3 linked regions of the Oryctolagus cuniculus genome follow. The protein of the gene in region 2 binds, or shares a complex with, the protein of the main gene of each other region. Links are inferred from orthologs where the notes say so. Each region holds a gene or a part of one and is shown on either strand. Other genes may lie near its edges. The genes, in order: EPAS1, EGLN1 and HIF1A.

Region 1 (4,089 bases), on a different chromosome or scaffold from region 2:
ATATTTTTCCTTTCAGAGTAGGATAAAAGATGGAATCTGACTTTTCTGGAGCAGAGGAATAACCAAGTCCAGTGTGTGTGTGGGGGGGGGGCAGTTGAAAAACTTCTGGTACAGATGCCTCTGATTCGCCTTCCACCCGTGCGCAGCGCGGAGCAAAAGGTGCCTGTATCTGGCGCTGGCTTGGCGACCGGACTCTGATCCGGGATTATCCAAGGATCTCAGCCCCTTGGCGTCACAAGGCTCCTGGGAGGCAGCCCTTTTCAGCCCAGCGGGAAATGGACCACTCCTTCCATGGATGGTAAGGGGCGCGCGGCCGGTCCCGCCACGCTGAGACTCTGAAGCCCAGGCAGGGCACACAGGGCAGCCCCCAGGCAGCCTGAAGCCCTCGAAACAGCCTCCACGGCTTTCGCAGTTGGCCCCGCAGTGGTTCTTAAAGCGGCCACCCTCGTCAGAGCTGTGCAGTGGGATTATGCAACTTGGCCCCGGCTCCCATTCTGGCTCCCTTCACCCCTCGGCCGGTGCTAACAGAGGTGGCACTGTAACCCGGCATGTCGCAAGCATACCCCACTTCCGAGTTTCACGCGACTGTTAATATTCACAATAGCACTGGAGCTGGCGCTAAGGAGCGCGTAGACGCGGACACTCCACGCATCCGTCCCACCAGCGACTACCGGGCCACAGCCATCAGGCCGCCCCTCGGCGACGGCGCCGGTCCACATCGCAGCTGTGAAACGCACAAGTCCCCTGCCCACTCCGCAGCCCCGCGCGCTAGCAGAGGGGCTGCCCAGAGCTTTGGGTTTCAGTGTCCCGCAGTCATCACTGGCACTTTCCTCAGGTTCACCAAACGCATCGGGAGCTCGCCCAGGTTTTGTCGCGCTAAAAAGACGCACGGCTCCAGGGACGCCCCCCGAGGGTCCCAGGACCGTGCTGCTACCGTTTCCGGGGACGCTGGAGGGGGCTGTGGCCGGGAAGGGGGTGCGGGGCTCTACTGCCTCTTTCTAGCGACCCGCGAGCGAAGGGCCGGGCGCCCCGCCAGGACGGGTGCGATTTGCTCGCTTTTATCTAGTCCTTATCATGCCCCGAGGTGGGAGCCGCCGCTTTCGACCCGAGGATACAGGGCTTCTGGCTCGCGTCCCGCATCGGAAGTCGGCACCACAGCAAATAGACGCGGGCACGGAGTCCTGCGGGTCAGCCCTCCCCTACCCACACCGCCTCGCTGGCGCCTCGTCGCGGGTCCCCGGCGGCTCGGGCCGGCCGGTCGCCGCCTCGAGCGCGCGGGTCTGAAAGCCGCAGTTCCCAGGGACAGAGATGGGGAGAACGGAGCAAGGCGGCGAGGCGTCCGCCTTCGCTGGTGCTGAGGCCGTACCCGGGACTGAGCGGCCGCTCCTGCCCTCGCACGCCGAGGCTCGGCCGGGAGTGGCCGGGAGGGGGCAGGAGGGCCGAGAGAGTCGGCCGAAGTCGCCTCTCACCCAGTGCCGAGAGGCTCGCGAGGGCAGGAGAGCAGATGGTGGCTGTCCTTTCCTGTCCTCTTGGGAGACGGACATCGGACTTGCCCTGGGCGCCCCATGTCGTCATCTCCTCCCCGCACACGGAGACACCTGTCCCCGAAGGGCAGTACAGCCCACTACCCACTTTCCGGCGGGGTAAAGGTGTGGGGACGGAGAAGGGGTTCTCCAAAGCTTTGGCGAGGGTTGGCGGCGGGGAGGGGGGGGGTCTCCTGGCGAGCGGGGCCCTGCTCCTTGGCCAGGGGCGCAGTCCAGGGGCTGCGCTCTGCCTCCCGCCCCTTGGGGCACAGCAGGGGCATGGGAACGCATTTGGAAGGACCCAAGGGTTCAGAGAAAAGCGTGGATGCTGCCCCCGCACGTGAGACCAGATAAAGTGGAGGGCATCCCCCCAGGGCCATTTCAACTTGCTAGTCGAGGCAGGGTGGCATACAGGAACCTGAGATTTGGAAGACACCGCGGGAAGCGCCTCGCTACTCCGCGGCCGGCCGTCGCCCTCGGCCTCCTAGCACTAGCGGCCCCGCGTCTCCGTGGGGCCACAGAACCCTCCGCTGCGCAAGCACAGCTCCACGTCCCTACTCGGCACACCTGCTCTTAAGACCAGCCACGCCGATCTTCCGCACTCCTCTGCCAAGCGCTCGCGCGGTCCGGCCACGGCTTCAGGCCAGCTCTCCCCTGGCGCTGACGCCAGCTTACCTTTTCTTCTCCTTGTCAGCTGTCATTGTCGCCACGGCCGCCGCAGACGCCGAGCGCCTGAGTTCTCCGGCCAGAGAAGGATGCAGCCGCTGCCTTCGCGCTGGTCCTCGTGGGCTTCCTGGGGCCCGGGACACAGTGAAAGATCCTAAGTGGTTGCAGGTGCCGAGCGCCGCGCGCAGTCAGGTGGAAACTTGCGGGCGGCCAGATAGGTGCGGGGCCAAGGGGTGGAGAGAGGTGACGGGGAGGAACCTGCACGCGGAGGCGGGGTCGGGAAAGGGGTGGGAAGAGGTTGTCAGCCGCGAGAAGGGATCCCAGGTTCCCTCTTCCCTAGAGCAGGAGTCGCTTTTCTGGGTTTTCCTAAAAGAAGTTGCCCAAGCGACTGGCGTTGGCAGGAGTCCGGGCCGGGCTGGCGCGGCCGCTGAGATGACCATACAGTCTCAGGACACTGCCGAGGATTGTACGGCCGCCTCAGGAGAGTTGGGGCGGAGCGCGGCGAGCGCCGAGGCTGTGCAGCTGGCCGCTCCCCGAAGTGCGGTTCCAGCAGCTGCCGGCCCACTTTAAAACTCCAGCGGGCTGCCAGCACGGGGGCGGTGCGAGGGGCGCGGGCGCGGGGGCGGGGGCGGGCGCGCGCCGGCAGGCCCCGCCCCCGCCCGGCCCGCCCGCGCCCCGCCGCGCTGCGCGCCGCGCGCCGGGCAGCCCACTGCGCCCCGGCCAATGGGGAGGCGCGGCCGCCGCCTCTGCCCTGACCCCGGCCCGCCCCCTGCCCTCGCCCGCCCCGCCTCCTCTCTCCGCAGACCTGGGAGTTGTTTTTGAGATCGAGGCTGAGGGGAGGTCGATGTGGGATGGGACCCCCGCCGCCAGGGAGGCACAACTTGTGCGGAGCTAAACGGCAGCCCGGATCCGGCCCTCGGGAGCGCGGGGGAGAGCGGGAGTGCGCCACCGCGTCGAGGCCCTTCCGACCCCGCCGTGCCCTTGGGTGTAGGGCAGGACCGCGAGTGCAGAGTGTCCCGCGCCCGCCGGGCCTTGCACAACCCCTGCCCTCTGCTGCGCTCCCGCATCCCCGTCCCCGCAGCCTGGGGCAGTCATTCCGAGGACCCTGGCGGCCGCGTCCTGCCTGGCGAACGATGACTGTGCCGTGAAATTGGGCTCAGGGTGCGCCTACTCGTCCCTCCCCTCGGCCAACACCTGAGTACTTTGCAGGGTTGCACCGGGCTGTGTGATTATGGCGCTGGGCGGTGGAGGGCCCTGGAGCCGTGGGGCCTGCCGCCTCCCGCTCTCTGTACCCCCGAACCAACGCGCGGATCCTGGAGAGGTCAGCGTTGGAGAAGTCAGCCAGGCTGCCCAGTGTGGTCTTGGGGACAGATTTGGCTGCGTGTCCTCCAGTCGCTCGATTTCGGGCTTGGCCCCCGTGTCTCTGGGGTTCCATTGCAGTCTTAGGAGCGCAGAGGCTACAGGTGTTGAGAGCCGGGCGCTCCCAGGACTCCTGCATGTGGTTGGAGCTCGGGACTGCCCAGCGCGCTTCACAAGTAGCCTGCGCCCTGCGCCGGGCCCAGGTGCGCATCTGGGGTGCGCGCCTCTGCCCCGCGCTGAGCAGCTCTCCAGCTCTGCACCTGCGTTACGCAATTCGGCACCGGCCCCTCGGGAAGGGGCACGGGAAGCCCCTAGTTTCCGCATACCGGGGAAGGGCCCATGGGCTTTGTGGTTATGAGTTTTAAAAGGGCTGGTTCCGCCCTGGGACCCGAGATCATCGTGTAGGACCTGGCTTGAGCCTCTCGCCACGTTTGGTGTCGGAATAATCTGCATAAAGCGATGGGCAGGGGGAGGGTCTGTTTCGGCGCTGTGACAGGCATACCCGTCATTTTCCTCCTCGTGCGCAAGGAAGAGGAGCGAG
Region 2 (2,959 bases):
TGCAACACAAAGCAGTTGTATCTTTTCCTTATTAAAATGCCGACTGGTTGTCTGTTTTTCTTTATCCCATTTATTTGTATTCACAAGTTAACAAACAGTGTCAACAATTATTGTAGTGAACTGAGGGTATTGCTGGATGAGAGGCTCTATAAGACATCTTTACTGATTGAATCAGAAGGTTTATTGAGTTCAACCCTCACTCCTTTTTCCCCTGCAAGGTAAAAAAATAGATAAAATTCATTTATTCATTAGGCACCAGAGAGCTTCTGCTACTGCTTCCCACTGAATTCCCAACAGTATGGACCAACATCATCTGAAAACTTTTATACTTGCACTTCCAAATGTTATCAGTGGTGTTCTATTATGATGAAGGCATTCATTTCAACTAGTAAAACCTTTAAGGGTAAAACCATCCTCTGTATAGAGAATGATTTCGTCTCCTTTTTATTTTAAAAAGCAATTATTTGTGGGCTCTGCCACAAATAACTACTTTAAAAATACATAGAAAATCCATCAACATTCAATTTGTATGTTGTTTATAAAAGCCTGAAGTGGGATTATCAATGGCTCATGAAAATATGGCTAATCAGTAATGTGAACACTTAATGGACTTTTGGATATACAGGTAGGGTTAAAGAAAAGAAAGCGAGTGGTCCATCAGATGGGAAACTGAGACCAACTGCTCTAGAAGAGAGAGTCCATGAGCGGGGGCAGAGGAGAACTGGTGTAACGAAGAATCTTCAGGTTCGGTACAAGTGTGCTGACCTGTCTGTGTATACCACTGGAGATAATGCAGTCCACATGCCTAAGCTGATTCACTCATTTTGGCATTTCAATTTACCTCCTTTATATTAACTTTCTTCATGTCCCTATTGAACATGGAAGATCGAGGATATTTTTTAAGAGTATGTATGCTTAAAAAAGGAAAGGATATTTACTGCCTTCTTGGGGGCAAACGAGAGGTAGCCAGATGGCCATTAACAAGAGTCAAGTCCCCTGTGACTGAAAAGGATAATCACAGAAAAACTTGGACGATAACTGAATAATTACTCAGATTTTGCCTCAAACTTTCCTAATCTTTTGGCAATTTTGTAGGCTAAATATAATAATGAAGATGACATTAAGGGAAGTCCTTTTTTAAGAAAGGGAATTAATGAATCTGACAAAAACAAGAATTATTCATGGTGTTAAAAAAGACTATACTTGAATTTACTGAAAGCACCACCTGATGGCAGGGTACTTTTGTTCCAGTATACCCTGGCCCCAAATGATGTTTACCTGTTAGATATTTTACTTTAGCTCGTGCTCTCTCATCTGCATCAAAATACCAAACAGTTATTGCGTACCTAAAAGAAAATTTAGAATAGGGTAAGAATGATCACATTGGGGGGTAGGGTAGTGGTATGCTGTTATGATGGTATATTAAAACTTGTGATGCCAAAATTATGCCTAAACTTGAATGATACTAAAGGACAAATGAGTACAACAACTCACTTTTCCAGTAGCCTCAACACTGAAGAGTATAGCAGAGAACCAGGAGAGGCTAAAATTGATGTCACAAAGTTGAGTATTTATGACTTTTTAAACATCTGTTTAAACTGCTTGACTATCTTTTTTGCAACCCCACCACAGAGCAGAAACAGATAACAAAAGGGTAAAAGAATGGCTATTACAGAAACAGCACATTATCCATAGCAGAAGTACTAAATGAAAAAGTGAGAAACAGAAAAGGATTCCATACACAGCAGCCTGGGGCCTTTAGTGAAAGGAGAGTAAGTCTCAAAAGCTTCTGAGAATATCATATTACATTATAGCAAAGTGGAATGATGGATGTTTTTAATTATAACCTGAGTCATCAAGAGGAGTTAAATTATACTAAGACTTTTCTAGAATTTTTATCAAAACAATTATACTATGTTCTGAGGTTTAAAGTGTAGCTAACTTCATTTTTCAGAAAATTACACTTAATTGGACTATCTTATTCCAAAAATAAATGAGGCATCACCAGTTTATAAAATAGTACATGTTAGATCTTCTGATAGGAGCAAGGGGGAAAATGTACAGACACTATAAAATTGAGGGCATGGCACAAATCGTTAATTCTTCAGTAGAGTGCAACAATTAGTTAAAATATCTTACAAATTCTAGTCAATGGTCATGGGGGGCAAGCATGATCGAATGATGACCCCGTATATGTGACAAAACTAAACCAGGAAGCATATTGAAGTAAACAGCCAAATGCAGAGCTGAGTCAGAACCTGAGCACCTGGACAACTCGAGGAGACTGAGGTGCGGATCTCTCACTGGAGAAGGACAGAGCTGCGATCAGAGACGGGTCTGCTGACTGCCACACTCTGCTTTGTCTAGAGTTCAACACCTTTCTTGCCAGGTGGCCTCTTCTATTTTTTTCTGGTGGCCTTGGTAATAGGAAAGGGCTCAGATATATCTGTCTTCTGTCCATGTGACTTAGTAATCAAGAGTTCTAATTTCTGGATCACCTCCCACCATAGCCCCAAGTCCTTACCAGGAAACAACTGTAACCCACCACCTGCCGTTCTCACTCGCCAGCCTTATCGTTTTCCTCACAAATTTCCTCACCACGACTAGGACGATCTTGCCCTTTCTCAGAGCTGCACTAACGCGGCTGGGCTTCTGGCCTCTTTACTGCTCAGTCTAACACCACCTCCTCTTTCTCTCAGGTCCCAGAGTACTTATGTTCCACACGAGTTGACACTGATTTACTATTTCAAACTGTTATTTATTCATCTAAAAAGGATACAATCAAACCAAGCTCAAAATCTCATTGAAAAGAAGGTCTATGAAGCAGTTTCTGGGTCAGAAAACATTTAAAGAGTCTGCAGTGGGAGGTAGAGGCAGGCACTGAGCTTCAGGACGAGGGATGGGATCCAAGAGAAAAGATTCTCTCTGGTTTCCATTTAGGACTTTTTATGATTTCTGG
Region 3 (4,231 bases), on a different chromosome or scaffold from region 2:
GCTGTAGAGTGCAGGGCAGATGTTCAAGAAAAGCAACTGATGCTAGATGCCAATGTAGCCCTGGAGGTGCTGTTTTAACAGGAAAGAACTCTTTTCAAGATCCAAATTGAATGTTAGTTTTTTCATTTTTTGGAGATACAGAAAAGATGCATGAAGACAGAAGAGAAACTGAAAGAAATATTTGGAAGAACTTACAAAAAGCATTTTAAGGGTGGTGGAAGTTCAAACTTAAAGCTTAAACAGGTAACATTTACTAGGAAGTACACAAACTGTTACCAAGACTCCCCCATTCCCGACCCTGGGCTAAGTGTTCTACATGCATGATCTCATTTCCCATACATATTAACTGTTAAGATGGCTGCTTCTTATCATCAAAAGGAAAAGTTAGGCATGGACGCATTCAGGACTTGCCCAATTCACAAGTGGAAAGGCTGGCACTCTAACTCAGAGATTCAGGCCTCCAGCTTCTACACTCTTCATCTCTAGCCCTGCTGCTGTTATAAACAAGTCAAACTGCAACAACAAAAGTTTACTAATAAATGACTCTTAGTGGCCAAGGTTAAAAAAGAAAATTTAGAAATGTTTATTCTCAGAGATTTCACTACAATGCTCCAGTAATTATTTGTTTTGGAAAACTCTGAAGGAACCTGACCTGAAGCCTAAAAACAGAACCTCCTGCCATTCCTTTTGAATCTAAAAACCCCTATTATCCTTGTGCTCTCAGTAAGTCCAGCACCTACAACTAAGGAATCAACATGAAACTCCCTGTTAAATCTATTACAACCACACCACTCTGCTCTGATTTCTTTCAATTCTGATTTTCAGCTGCCTTGTCCTCCTCTAAAACTGGGAAAATTCCAAGAAGAAAATCTCCACCTCAATCTGTTACCTTTCAAAAACTTGAAGAAATATTAGTCAGGAAAGGGCATTTTTAATTAACATCATCCAAAAGTTGCTGAGTAATCACTATTTACTGTTTAACTTAAAATTTCAGTTATATTAAGAATCTCCATATTAAGTGTTACGACTACATTCGATCCCAGGTGGTTAAGTTTTCAAATGAGAAAATTTTGAAAATAACAATGGGAATGGGGAAAACCAAAGAATTCATTTAGCGCTGGGGCTGGTGCGCAGTAGTTGCTAATTTATTCACTCACTTATTTTACAGTGGCTTCTGGTATTAACTGAAGAATAGCAAAGAAGAAATCAGTAAAGTATTACATATAAAAAGGAAGTGACTGGTACACAACCTAATGCATTGTGGTAACTATGATTCAGTATATAATAAGGACGGAAAATTGGCACTACACAGAGGTAATCTGCCTTTGGTTTACAATATAGCAGCCTCTTCATTTCATCAAAAACACTGTAATCACTTCTGCAAAATTAATTGCAATTAATTCCTGGTTAACTCTTGAAATTAAATCTAGACTTGTGTGCTCATGTTTTAAATTGTGTAAGTGCTCTCTCCCCGGTGTATATAAACTGAGAATTTTACATTCTATTGAATAGGGACCAAGATAAAGAATCTACAAAACAGCAAGGATATAAACAAGTTTATCTTCCGCTCATACTGATTAGAGAAGTTAATCTCTCCCATAAGAGTGGAAGGACTTAACAGTAAAGCCAGCCTACGTTACTACTCCTACTATATAAATCCTCAATTCCTTAAAATAATTTCCTCAACGGTGAAAATACCAAAGTGGAGAAAATAGGGAGGGGGGTACTGTAAATACCACGGGTTCCACCATTCTTAATCTTTCTATAATGTACCCCTCTTACACTTCACGCTGTTCAATAAACTTGCTTTAAGTCCCAACACAATCTGGATATGTGCTGATGGTTTCCTTCAAATATATTAAAATATCAGGAAAACGAGACAGTTCTGAAAAAAAAAAAATCCTCCAACACTTTAGTGTTGCATTTCGTTTGCTCCGGTCATCTACTTCGCTTTTCAACCTCACTGACACTGTCTGCCTAAATCGAAGCCGCCCGTTACATTTTCACCAAGATATTTTCGGGAATGAATGAGGCACGGATTCCTGCTCATCGTCTGGGCTCCCTGGATCCCAAGTCTCCACTTCCCAAGTTCCCGCTACAGCCTGGCGATGTGCCCCCCAATTCCCGTTACTCCGACTCCCAAGTCTGGGCAAGTTTTTCCAGCCGATTAAAACAACAAAACGAAAAACAAAACCTGCACGTGCAAACTAAAAAGTTAGCATCCGAAGGCCGCCGCGGCCAATCCCCCCACCACGGCACAAAGGCAGCGACACCCGCCGCGGCGGGACCGCCGCAAGGGCCAGCCCAGCCGCGGCCGCCGGGGCCCCGCACCCGCCGGCGAGCCGCGGCCAGCGTGCGGGGCGCCCGGCCCGCGCCTTCCCCGCCACCGGGAGGGAGCGGAAGCTCCGGGTGCGAGCGGCGGCGCCGAGCTGCGGGCTCGGCTTCCAGGCTGGGGCGAAGTCCCCTCCGGACGGGGCCGCGCCGCAAGGCTGGGGCTCCGCGGCGGGCGCGGGGGGCGGCGCGAGGACCCCCGCAGCCCCGGCTGGGGGCGGCGGCGGCGGCGGCGTGCAGACCCCCGGCCCCCTGGAAGCACTTTCGAGGCGTCTCCCACCCCCCACGACAAGATGGCGACGTGGACAGCGGGGGAGCCCGGCCGGCGAGGTTGGGGGAAAGAGAGGGGAGGGGAGAGGAGGCAGAAACAACAAAAAAAAAGGCCGGGCGACCCCCGCCCGCCCAGCGACCCACCCCGGGAGCGCCGCGGCCCGGCGGGCGGGCGGGCGGGGAAGGGGCTTACTTTTTCTTGTCGTTCGCGCCGCCGGCGCCCTCCATGGCGATTCGGTCTCCGCGATGCCTTCCCGGCCGGCGGCCCCCAGGCTCGCTCCGGCCTAAGCGCCGGCTCCCTGCACACGCGGAGAGAGCAGAGCAAGTCCGGGTGGGGGCGGCGGCGGGGGAGGGGTGCGAGGCGGGAAGCTCCTCGCAGAGCAGAGCGGGGCGGCGAGCGCGGAGTCCGGCGCGAGCCTCCGCGCAGGCTGCTTGTCACGGCCCGGCCCGACGCGCTGGGCCCACTCGGCAGCGAGGACGGTCCTCGCGTCCCCTCAGACGAGGCGGCTCTGCGCTCGGCGGAGCTGAGGCAGCGGGCAGGGGGCGGGCAAGGGCGGAGGCGCGCCCGGCCGCGCGGGGAGGGGAGGGGCGGGGCGGGAGCGCGCGCCCCCGCCCCTCGCCTGCCCGCCGAGCCCAGCGCGCGCGCGCGCGCCCCCGCAGGCCCGCCTCACCTGAGGGGGAGGCGGGCTGCTCGGGAGCCAATGGCGAGCGACGCAGGCGGCCAGTGCCCACCCCAGCCCACGTCGCTCTCAGCCAATCCGGAGGCGCTCAGCTGAGGCACAGCTGGGACGCGCCGCGGCGCTCACGTGCCCGTCTGTGTGCGGCCGGGGCGGAGAGAAAGGCGTTGGGGGGTGCGTCTGCGCCGGGACTAGGGGGCACCCAGCGCCTGCCGCTGGGGACGGCGGCGGCGGGCTTGCGGGAGGCGCTGCTGAGGGGAGTTGGCGGCTGCCCGGGCCCGAGGTTGCATCACGTTTTCCCGCTCCCGCGCTCCCCTCAGGCGGCGTAGCCGAGTTCCCTGTGGGAAAGCGCAGCCCTGGCGGCTTGGGCGCGAGCCCCCCGGGTCTCCCCGCTCGGACGCGTTGCGGCGCGGCCTTCCTGCCAGGCTGCCCGCGCTCTGCCGCACGGCACGGGGGACCCCGCGGGGCCCCTGAGGCGTTCTGTCGCGAACTTGTTTAAGTTAATGCCAGGGAAAACCTCACAGACCCGTTGTTGCACGCCTCTCTCCGAGGAAGGAAGGTGTGAAGTTACTGTAGAAACGGCTTTCAGAAGCGAGAATATATAAACCTGCATTTCAGGGAGGGTCGGAAAAATGGCTTTAGGCACACTTTTCTTTGTGCTTTCTTAGCGCTTTTGCAAGACGATCTTGCGTGGATTCAGAAGAGTCTCCTTGAGTTGCGTTCGCGGTGTAGACCGAGTCCGGAACCCAGGCTGCCTCCGGGGCATGGGCCAGAGCCCGCCGGGTTGGAAGGAACCGGGCACGACGGTGCTGGCTAGCACTGCCTGTTTGCTGACAGGACTGCGAGTTACGGAACAAAACTTAAGCACTTTTTTGTCTTTAGAACCATACATTTCAAGCCTCTCAAGTCTTTAAAAAAAAAAAAAACATATTTTGAGCTCCACAAAGAGCCAC

What was found.
Region 1: the proteins of EGLN1 (region 2) and EPAS1 are in contact, whole or in part, in a crystal structure (PDB 7Q5X), measured with the Homo sapiens proteins. The link is inferred for Oryctolagus cuniculus from reciprocal best matches to the Homo sapiens genes EGLN1 and EPAS1. Residues at the interface, in NP_071334.1 of Homo sapiens: Gln239, Leu240, Val241, Ser242, Lys244, Ile251, Arg252, Trp258, Asp277, Ile280, Arg281, Ile292, Asn293, Gly294, Arg295, Thr296, Lys297, Tyr310, Val311, Arg312, His313, Val314, Asp315, Pro317, Asn318, Asp320, Arg322, Arg370, Trp389, Tyr390; in NP_001421.2 of Homo sapiens: Asp525, Leu526, Glu527, Thr528, Leu529, Ala530, Pro531, Tyr532, Ile533, Pro534, Met535, Asp536, Gly537, Glu538, Asp539, Phe540, Gln541, Leu542.
Region 3: the proteins of EGLN1 (region 2) and HIF1A are in contact, whole or in part, in a crystal structure (PDB 3HQR), measured with the Homo sapiens proteins. The link is inferred for Oryctolagus cuniculus from reciprocal best matches to the Homo sapiens genes EGLN1 and HIF1A. Residues at the interface, in NP_071334.1 of Homo sapiens: Gln239, Leu240, Val241, Ser242, Gln243, Lys244, Ile251, Arg252, Trp258, Lys262, Asp277, Ile280, Arg281, Ile292, Asn293, Gly294, Arg295, Thr296, Lys297, Tyr310, Val311, Arg312, His313, Val314, Asp315, Pro317, Asn318, Asp320, Arg322, Arg370; in NP_001521.1 of Homo sapiens: Leu559, Glu560, Met561, Leu562, Ala563, Pro564, Tyr565, Ile566, Pro567, Met568, Asp570, Asp571, Phe572, Gln573, Leu574.

The regions. Positions count from the first base shown.
Region 1 is NC_091433.1:156,440,551-156,444,639, forward strand, and holds the start of EPAS1 (endothelial PAS domain-containing protein 1), read right to left. Parts: upstream 2,817-4,089; 5' UTR 2,225-2,816; coding exon 2,199-2,224; intron 1-2,198.
Region 2 is NC_091444.1:50,885,208-50,888,166, forward strand, and holds part of EGLN1 (egl nine homolog 1), read right to left. Parts: intron 1,347-2,959; coding exon 1,279-1,346; intron 212-1,278; coding exon 147-211; 3' UTR 1-146. UniProt on the Homo sapiens protein: Cellular oxygen sensor that catalyzes, under normoxic conditions, the post-translational formation of 4-hydroxyproline in hypoxia-inducible factor (HIF) alpha proteins.
Region 3 is NC_091451.1:8,816,722-8,820,952, forward strand, and holds the start of HIF1A (hypoxia-inducible factor 1-alpha), read right to left. Parts: upstream 2,929-4,231; 5' UTR 2,830-2,928; coding exon 2,795-2,829; intron 1-2,794.